Rattus norvegicus: one gene and its partner. The protein of the gene in region 2 interacts with the protein of the main gene of each other region in a biochemical or structural test. Links are inferred from orthologs where the notes say so. Each region holds a gene or a part of one and is shown on either strand. Other genes may lie near its edges.

Region 1 (4,337 bases), on a different chromosome or scaffold from region 2:
CATGTGAATGCTGGGAACGGAACCTAAGCGCTCTTAAGCTAAGCTACTGCTCCAGTCCCCTCTTCTAAACCGTTTTAAGAGGTGTAAAAGAGATGTATCTATTTTTTATTTATTATTATACATATATTATATATAAAGAGGCCTATATCTGCAACAACCACAACAAAAAGCTTTTTATATGATTCGTTTCTTATAACTTCGATAACATCAGAAAGCATGTCTAATTGAGTTTTTAACAAGAAAAACAATATAGTCTAGTTGGTTAAAAGTGAGCTTTTTGAGGGAGTTTAGAGGTCTGGTGGGGACATTCTCGAGGAGTGGAACCCCTGGGGGGGGGGGCAATGGGATGTTGAAACAGTTGGAAAGTAGACGGGGAGGAGAATAAAATCTGGAATGTAAAAATGAATAAATGAATGAATGAATAATTTTTTTTAAAAAGTGAGCTTCTGATAAAAACTTGGGTTCAAATAGAAGTTATGCCCAGCAACCGTAACCAAGTATTCCATTTCTTGAACAGCACACTGTATGAGCATATTATCAGCGTTAGACATCTTATACTCCATTATTTGTTAAAGTGGAAGCCTTTGTTTCTCAGGTCCCAAGATAAAAGCCTTAAAGGAGCAGATGACTTTGACATATGTACGTCATAAAGTATGTGGCTTGCAGAACTGTGTTGTTGAGAGTAAACATTCTGACAATTCTTACCCAGATAGTACTGGGTAATTACCTAAAGGGAAGGCTGGAGATGGCTCAATGGTTAAAAGAGTGCTGGCTGCTTGTCCAGAGGACCTGAGTTCAATTCCCCACACCCGCCTCAGGTAGCTCACCACCACCTGTAGCTGGTGGGAAGGGATCGCACTTCCTCTTTGAACATCCATGGGCACCTGCGCACATGCCGCACTCATACACATAAATAAAATCAGCTAAATCTTAAGACAGAAAGCAATATGGCGGGGCAGCTAACACTGCATGGACTATCACTCATCAAGCACGTTATTTCATTCACTCTTAAAAAAACCCACGTGGTAGACTGGCACCCCACCCTCCATTCATCTTCCCGTGCAATAGCACTTGGCTTCTAAAGAGTTAGTGGTCCGTTCCATTCCCTTTCCCCTCACCGTTGCATTTCTAGCCTCACGGTTAGAACACTGATGAAGGAAGTCGCTGAAGAAAGCCAAAGCTAAAGGGTGGAGTGAGAATGCAAGACCCAGCCAACCGCCAGGTATCTCTGTGCATGTGGCCAGCCACATTAATCTGAATAACTGAACCAGGCAGGAACTACTAATTGTGTGTTTATGGAGCTGCAACAGAGAAAAGAAACACCCTATCGGAGTCATGCTACTGTTCATCTCCAATTCTGAACTCAAGAGGTCAATAGTAACCGAAGTTCCAGAATTCTTTCAAGTTCTAACAGCTCTATCTTAGTTGATAACTAATAAACTTACATTTTCTGTAATAAAGAGGAAAAAAAAATCAAAGGAAATATAAGGGAATACATAAGCTAGTTTTACTTCTATCCAACTCTATAAAAGTATTAATACATGTGAAAAAAAAAAGCGAAACAATGAACAATGATATATGCTCTTTCAATATAAGTGAACTATTCCCAACTCCCGGAATAAGTCCTACGTACTTACTGACTGCTTAATAATAACTTTATGACACTGGCCATACACCAGGGGCTGTGCTCAGTTATTTAAGTGCAATCAGTATAGAGACACATGCTCATTTTGAAATCAGGTAAGACTAAGTCTCACGATTATCCTACCATTTTTTAAAGTAGAAGAACAAAGAATAAGGTAGTTAAGCCCAGGTTATAAATTAAATTTCCCACTAATAAAGTAGATTGTATTTTCTACACAGAATAGCCAGGCACAGCGGCCGCACCACACATACACCATTTCAACGTGCAGGTTTGAGCAAGAGTATTTCATTAATTAGATCAACGTGCTCTCAGTTGTGAAGTGTAAATGTTAGGCTCAATTGAAGGCATACGTTCACTAGAAAGCAAAACTGTGAAATCTACACAAAGAAGACTAAAGCTGTTCAACAATTGTTTGAGGGACTGACACATGTCTCAATTTTTGACCTGGAGTGGATCTAAGTAAGCACCCTAAGGTTTCCACAAAATTCCTAAGCAGCCCCTGGAAATATTACTGTCTAGACATCCCGAGCCCAAGGGCATTCTGCCTGTGTTCTCGTCTACAGAGTTGGTGACAGAGAGTATCCAGAACATAAGGACCCACACACGCTATGAAGTGAAAAGCTCTGGACCACATGACAGCGTCTATTCTTTCTCCTCCCCTGTCAATCCTGGAAAGCCATCTCTTCAAAACAAAAACAAAACTCTGTATCAAAGTCCAAAATACAAATTTACCTCCAACCAGGCGAGGGCGGGGGCGGCAGCAAACAGAAGTCAAACTCGGTGCGTTGGGCTCGCCGAACAGACACTAAGGAAGGCGCCCACCGCCTGGGGAGCCGTCATCTTTCTTACCACGCTTCCAGAAGCCAAAGGAACCCGCAGAGGGCGTTATCAAGGACTTAAGAAGCTGGCAGTCACCCCGGGTCGTAGGACGGTCAGGACCCCAGCACACGATCCCCACAATTTTCTGCTGCTCCCAGCATTTACCGCCACAGCCGACTTCAGGCCCGCCCCCCTGAGTCAGGCCTAACTCGAGCCTCACACCCCAGAGCGCCCGTCGCCTCTAGGAAGGTAAATTTGTGTCTTCCTTCCTACCTCTATACTCCTAGGAAATACTCACTTGCCCGCCAGATCTTTGTGAGAGCCGCTTGAATTCATGAGCTGGGCCAAATCCTGTCGCACGGCAGCCGCCATCTTTCTTCCAGCTCAGCCACGGCTGCGGGACCTCTCGCTGCCAAAAAGGAAACGAGTGTGGTCCTCCAGAAGCCGGCAGAGGGGAAGCTAGATGCCATAGAGTAGCATCTTAGTGGGCCAGAGCGTCGGATATGGGAGCCGGAATTAGCTCCGCCCTCGAGGTTGAGTGACACAAGACTCCTCTCCTCTGGTTTGAGGACAGCCCAGGTCTCCCGAGAGACACTGGCTCTCACGCTCCGACCTGGGATTGGCTGAAGAAGAACTTGAAGGCGTGTACTTTGTGCAATTTCAGTAAGGGCCCGGCAGGTCAAACGACGACGTTTTAGCCAGGTTCCGGATCGGATTATTATCGTTCTCCGCTTAGTTCTTTAAGGCATCTCTTAAACTACCTATGTAGAGTTATTTCCAATTCACTATAGTCCAATACTGAAGAAAAACAAAACAAAAACCGACCAACACATGCACGGAATATTAATCCCAAAGATGCGAAGAAAACCATAATGGCCAAATTAAGCAATTAATGAAAGCGAGCTTTTTCATTCGTGTACACGGACTGCCTTCCCCTAAAGTGGAATTCGATAGGTCAGCTCTAGATGCAAGGAAGACAAGGCTTTTATAACTCAGGGGTAAAGGGATCCAAAGGGGGAATTGGTGGGCAAATTAGGCGGCTGGCAAAACAAGGTAATCACAACAGGTAGACATAGGTGGTCATGTAAACTATGCAGCAGGTAAGGCTGCAAAGTGGCTATAAACCACTTCTTGAAGCAAAGGCATGATTTCTATTCCTGGAACTGGTAGTGCAGAACCTTTTGTACTTAGGGTTACAGGTGAAGCATAGTCCAATGCTTGAGAAAGAGAGGTTTAATCATAAACAAGGAGGAACCTAGTTTGTCTGGAAGAGAGGTTTAATGATAAACAGGTAGGAATCTAATCTGTCTTTACCATGAGATGGCTTTTAAGTCTGAAATGGAGACAAGCTGGTTCTTCAGATAATTTACCTGGGAGAGAATATACTGCAATCAAGAATATGATCCTAAGGGGTTGGGGATTTAGCTCAGTGGTAGAGCACTTGCCTAGCAAGCACAAGGCCCTGGGTTCGGTCCCCAGCTCCTAAAAAAAAAAAAAAAAGAATATGATCCTCCCAGGATGAGTCACTGGCATCTAGGTGTGCTAATGTCTGCGTTTGTGAGGAAACTCAACTGCACAGCTTATGATTATAGTGGACTGCTTTTGGCACATTACCCTTATGAAAAAATAAGTGGCTGGGCTTGATGGGGATCACCGTAATACCAGCACTCCAGAAGTAGAGGCTGGAGGATCAGGAGCCTATGCACCTGAACCTATGGAGTTGAAAGACAGTTGGGATTGCTACAAAACCTTGTCCCACAAATCCCTAAGATATAGTACAGATTTAATGGACACACACACATATACACAAGTACCTTTGGGCTATATATGTGTATTCCCTTTCCCTGTTGCACCCTGTATCTTTTTAAAGTAT
Region 2 (4,540 bases):
GCACTTGGACCCTATGTTCCCTTGTCTCATGGGTTACTTCCAGAACTCAGGTCTTGAACTTTCAATTCCCCTGCCTTAGTCTACTGAGTAATGGGATTACAGATTATGAAACAGTAAGTCTGGCTTTACCTTAATTTGCCCCTTAAATGGTTTCTGTAAGTATTTTTGTTTTGTTTCATTTTGAGACATGGTCTCACTAAGTAGTTCTGGCTATACCATAATTCCCTATGCATAAGATGCTGGATGATTTAACTCAGAAATCCACCCAATTAAAGGTGTGTACCACCATGCAATTTAAAGTATTCTAAGACAGGGTCTCTCACACTGTAGCACAGGCTACCCTCCCAACTAATAGCAATCCTCCTGCCTCAGTCTCCTGGCTGTTGGGATTACAAATAACCAGCTGAATCCTTTAACTTTTAAATTTCCTCACCTGCCTAGGTTCTACTTACACTTTTCTCCTGTTGAGATTCAAGTATTAAAACCAGAACGATTAGGTGTAGTAATCCTTCTGGTTTTAATCGGCCAAAAGTCTGGTCACGTGGTCTGAAATTCCAACGGAAGAAAACCTCAAAAGCCTGACCAATACACTTCCCTTTCCCCTTAATCATTTGGGGGTTTGTTTTGTTTTTTCCAGACCGGTTCTCAAGTAGCCCAGACTGGCTTGGTATTTGCTATGTATTTTTTGCTTCGTTTTTTTTTTTTTTTTTTTTTTTGATTCTTTTTTTTCCGGAGCTGGGAACTGAACCCAGGCCCTTGCGCTTCCTAGGCAAGCGCTCTACCACTGAGCTAAATCCCCAACCCCCTGGGGCTGGTTTTGAACTCCCGATCCTACCTCTATTTCCAAAACACAGGGAAGCGGTGTGGGTCACCACTCCCTGCCCCCTTGCATTTTAAACTTTTATTCTGCTCTTTAAAAAACATGAGTGGTTGAACTACCTAAATTATCTACCGTTGAATTCTAGCCACGTTTGTCTACTTTTTATTCTGCTCTTTGAAAAACATGAGTGGTTGAACTACCTAAATTATCTACCGTTGAAACTCTAGCCATGTTTGTCTCCTATTTTTAGTTTCTGCATCTTCTCGTCTTCCACTAACGCTCATGCGGCCGGAGGAACTTGGCGCTGCCCTCCTCCCCTCTCCTGCAGCTACCGGGCGGTTCATCTACCCAGGACCTCCACGGAGCCAGGATTTTCTCTACACCCGGCATCCACCGCTCCCGCACCAATAAAGCTTTATCGACAGAGCGGAAGCTAGGTGTCGCTCTCTCACCTCCTTCGGTCGGGAAACGGAAGCAGGCCATAGCCGGCCGGAACCCGCCTCTCGAGAGCGGAAGTGCGGCCGGAAACTGGCCATAGAAGCGCGTGGCTAGAGCGACCCTGCGGGGAGGTGGCAGGAAAGGCTGGGAGCCGCTGCCGGAGGTGACGGAGCGGCCGCCCCGCCCCGCGCGCTGGAAGACGAGGCTTCCAGGTAGCGGTCGGTCGCAGTCTGTCCCAGGGTACGACCCGGCCTTGGGCACAGATTCGCGGACCCGGGGCTGCCTCTTTAAGGGAGGGGGTGGAGCCACGAGTGAGGATCGAAAAGGTGAGGTCACGTGGTTGAGGACACGTGCAAGACACGAGTTTAGAGCTGGGAGTTCGTCGTCGTTGGGGTAGACACCATGTGCCACCTCTTCCCTCCCTTCCTCATCTGTCCTGGAACTCAATGGGATGCACGTGGTGGGGCTTGGGACTGCCCCGATGGAGGAGAGGGTGGGCGTGGCAGCCAGGATGTGGCCGACTTTAAGGAACCCTAGAGTTGGCTTTTAGACTTCTTGACCTAATTGCACACTGCAGAAGTGACGTGGTACCTCTTGAGTGCAGTTCCCCACCCTTGAGCTGACCACCCTCACGTGGTTCAGGGACCTTTAGTTTTACGTTCCTCTTTCCTTGCAGCTCCAGAAAACTTGAGGCCAGAGCCCCGCACCAGGGTGCAGCCATGAGTGCGGAGGTGAAGGTGACAGGGCAGAACCAGGAGCAATTTCTGCTCCTTGCCAAGTCGGCTAAGGGGGCAGCACTGGCCACACTCATCCACCAGGTGCTGGAGGCCCCTGGTGTCTACGTGTTTGGGGAACTGCTGGATATGCCTAATGTTAGAGAGGTGTGTTGCTTGCCTGGGTAATTCAAAAAGAACCTCGGGACCAAAGTTTCCTTGAGAATGGTGGGCTCATTTTGTAACCAATAGCCACTCAGGTGAACAGGGTATTGATAATTAGATGTCAGCTTGGAAAAGTAAGCAGTCAAAAAAAGGTCTTCATTTCCTGTATCTCTTACAGAAAAGGGGTCTGTAAACTTACTGCTCCCTTCCTCTGTACCCACAATTTCAGTCAGGGTTTCACTGCGTAGTCCTGGCTGCACTAAACTGGTAATCGTCATCTGGGCTGGCCTTGAATGCTTGAGAATCTTCTTGACTATGCCTCATGCAGAAGTTAAAAAAAAAATTTTTTTTTTATTTAAAAATGTGGAACGCTTTATAAATTTGAGGTCATCTTTGCCCAGGGACCATGCTAATCTTCTCTGGATCGTTCTAGTTTTAGTATATGTGCTGCTGAAGGAAACACAGATTTTAAATTTTTAAACAAAAGAACATGTCATACACAATACCACTCATAAATGCCAGCTCGTCCACCAGTATGATATCTTTACTGTTGTTATTGATGTTGTTGTTTTTCGAGACAGGGTTTCTCTGTGTACTATAACTTGTGTTCTGGAACTCTCTGTGTGTTCAACTCAGAGATCCACCTCCGGAGTGCTGGGATTGAAGATTTGTGCCTATTGATACCTCTTAATAATCCTGTCACCATCATTTGGGAGGTAGAAACAGGTGGATCTCTGAGTTAGAGGCCAGCTTGGTCTACAGACTTGAGTTCCAGGACAGCCCCTGTTACACAGAGAAACCGTGTCTTAAAAACAAAACAACAAATCTTGTCACCTGGATCAGAAAAACCTAATTAAGTCTCAGTTTTCCCTTAAAAAATGGTGATGAGAACCTTGAAACAGCTGATAGAGTGGTTGCCTAGCATTTGTGAGGCCTTGGCTTCCATTTCAGAACTTGGGATGCTAAGGTAGGGCACCACAAATTTTAGACCAGCCTCTGCAACTTAGACCCCATCTCAAAAAAGGAGTAGGGATGTACTCAGTGAAAGAGCCCTTGTTTGTCGTATGCATGGCTCAGTATAGGTACAGTTCTCACAACTCCAATGAGGGAAAAACCGAAAAAAACACTACCTGGGCTGGAGAGATGGCTCAGCGGTTAAGAGCACTGACTGCTCTTCCAGAGGTCCTGAGTTCAATTTCCATCAACCACAAGGTGGCTCACAACCATCTGTAATGGGGTCTGATGCCCTCTTCTGGTGTGTCTGAAGACAGCTACAGTGTATACATATACATAAAGTAAATGATAATAAGAAAAAAAGCACTTCCCTTCACAGTTACAGTAGTAACTGTGGGAAAGTCTGGAGTCTCCTAAAATCAGAGAGAATGGGCATTTGAGTTATGCCATGGTAAATCCCACCCCCACCCCTACCCCACCCCCAGGTAGATGGTGAAGATGCTGTCTTCCCTAAGACAGTGGCAAACTGCTATGAACACAGTGACGAGAACATTCAGGGAAATGGCTGAGTCAAGAACGTTAAAAGTGGGGTTGGGAATTTAGCTCAGTGGTAGAGCGCTTGCCTAGGAAGCGCAAGGCCCTGGGTTCGGTCCCCAGCTCCGGAAAAAAAAAAAAAAAGAAAAAAAAAAAGAAAAAAAGAACGTTAAAAGTATAGAGCAGATGGATGGCCAATCCTGGGACACCAGCCTGTCATGAGAGTGACAGTAGTGTGTGGCTAGACTGAGCCAGGCATTAGAAGACCCGTGGTGGAATCAGAGGATAGAATGTTTTTTGGGACTGCTGTTTCACAAGAAACTGGCTTTTGTCCCTGATTTTCTCTACAGTGAACTAAAGTATGTCCTTAAGATGAGGTAGAAGGAGCATTTCCAGCTTGTGTTCCAGTGAAAGAGATCGGATAAATGGATAAAACAATACAAGTCAGCAATTTATCAGTAACTTACTTCGAAGGCCACAGCTCTGGGTCCTTGGAGGCTAGCAGATGCTGGGTCTATAGCCTTGTTAAAACATTGTTGGGGCTGGGGATTTAGCTCAGTGGTAGAGCGCTTACCTAGGAAGCGCAAGGCCCTGGGTTCGGTCCCCAGCTCCGAAAAAAAGAACCAAAAAAAAAAAAAAAAAAAAAAAAAAAAAAACATTGTTAGGTGAGAACCAGCAGAGTGACATGCCAGGATAAGTGGCAGTGACAGGAGGGAAGGTGCTGTGGATGACGTAAGACCTCGCTATGAGGACATTCTGAAGCCATGGCCACAAACCCTCTGGGGGGCGGGGGGGCACATAATTTACAGTGTCTGGTGTGTATGTGTGTGCACACGCACCTGTGCTACTCTGAACACTGAAAGTTTTCAGCCCTGACTGAGAATAGGAATCGGATGCGTAGCACAGCAAAGGGTTA

What was found.
Region 1: the proteins of Cops7a (region 2) and Cops4 form a complex in vitro, tested with the Homo sapiens proteins (2 studies listed by BioGRID). The link is inferred for Rattus norvegicus from reciprocal best matches to the Homo sapiens genes COPS7A and COPS4.

What each region holds. Positions count from the first base shown.
Region 1 is NC_086032.1:9,410,234-9,414,570, forward strand, and holds the start of Cops4 (COP9 signalosome complex subunit 4), read right to left. Parts: upstream 2,875-4,337; 5' UTR 2,837-2,874; coding exon 2,763-2,836; intron 1-2,762. UniProt on the Homo sapiens protein: Component of the COP9 signalosome complex (CSN), a complex involved in various cellular and developmental processes.
Region 2 is NC_086022.1:159,457,096-159,461,635, reverse strand, and holds the start of Cops7a (COP9 signalosome complex subunit 7a), read left to right. Parts: upstream 1-1,462; 5' UTR 1,463-1,584; intron 1,585-1,605; exon of another isoform or gene 1,606-1,704; coding exon of another isoform or gene 1,705-1,718; intron 1,719-1,934; coding exon of another isoform or gene 1,935-1,977; coding exon 1,978-2,139; intron 2,140-2,493; exon of another isoform or gene 2,494-2,599; intron 2,600-4,540.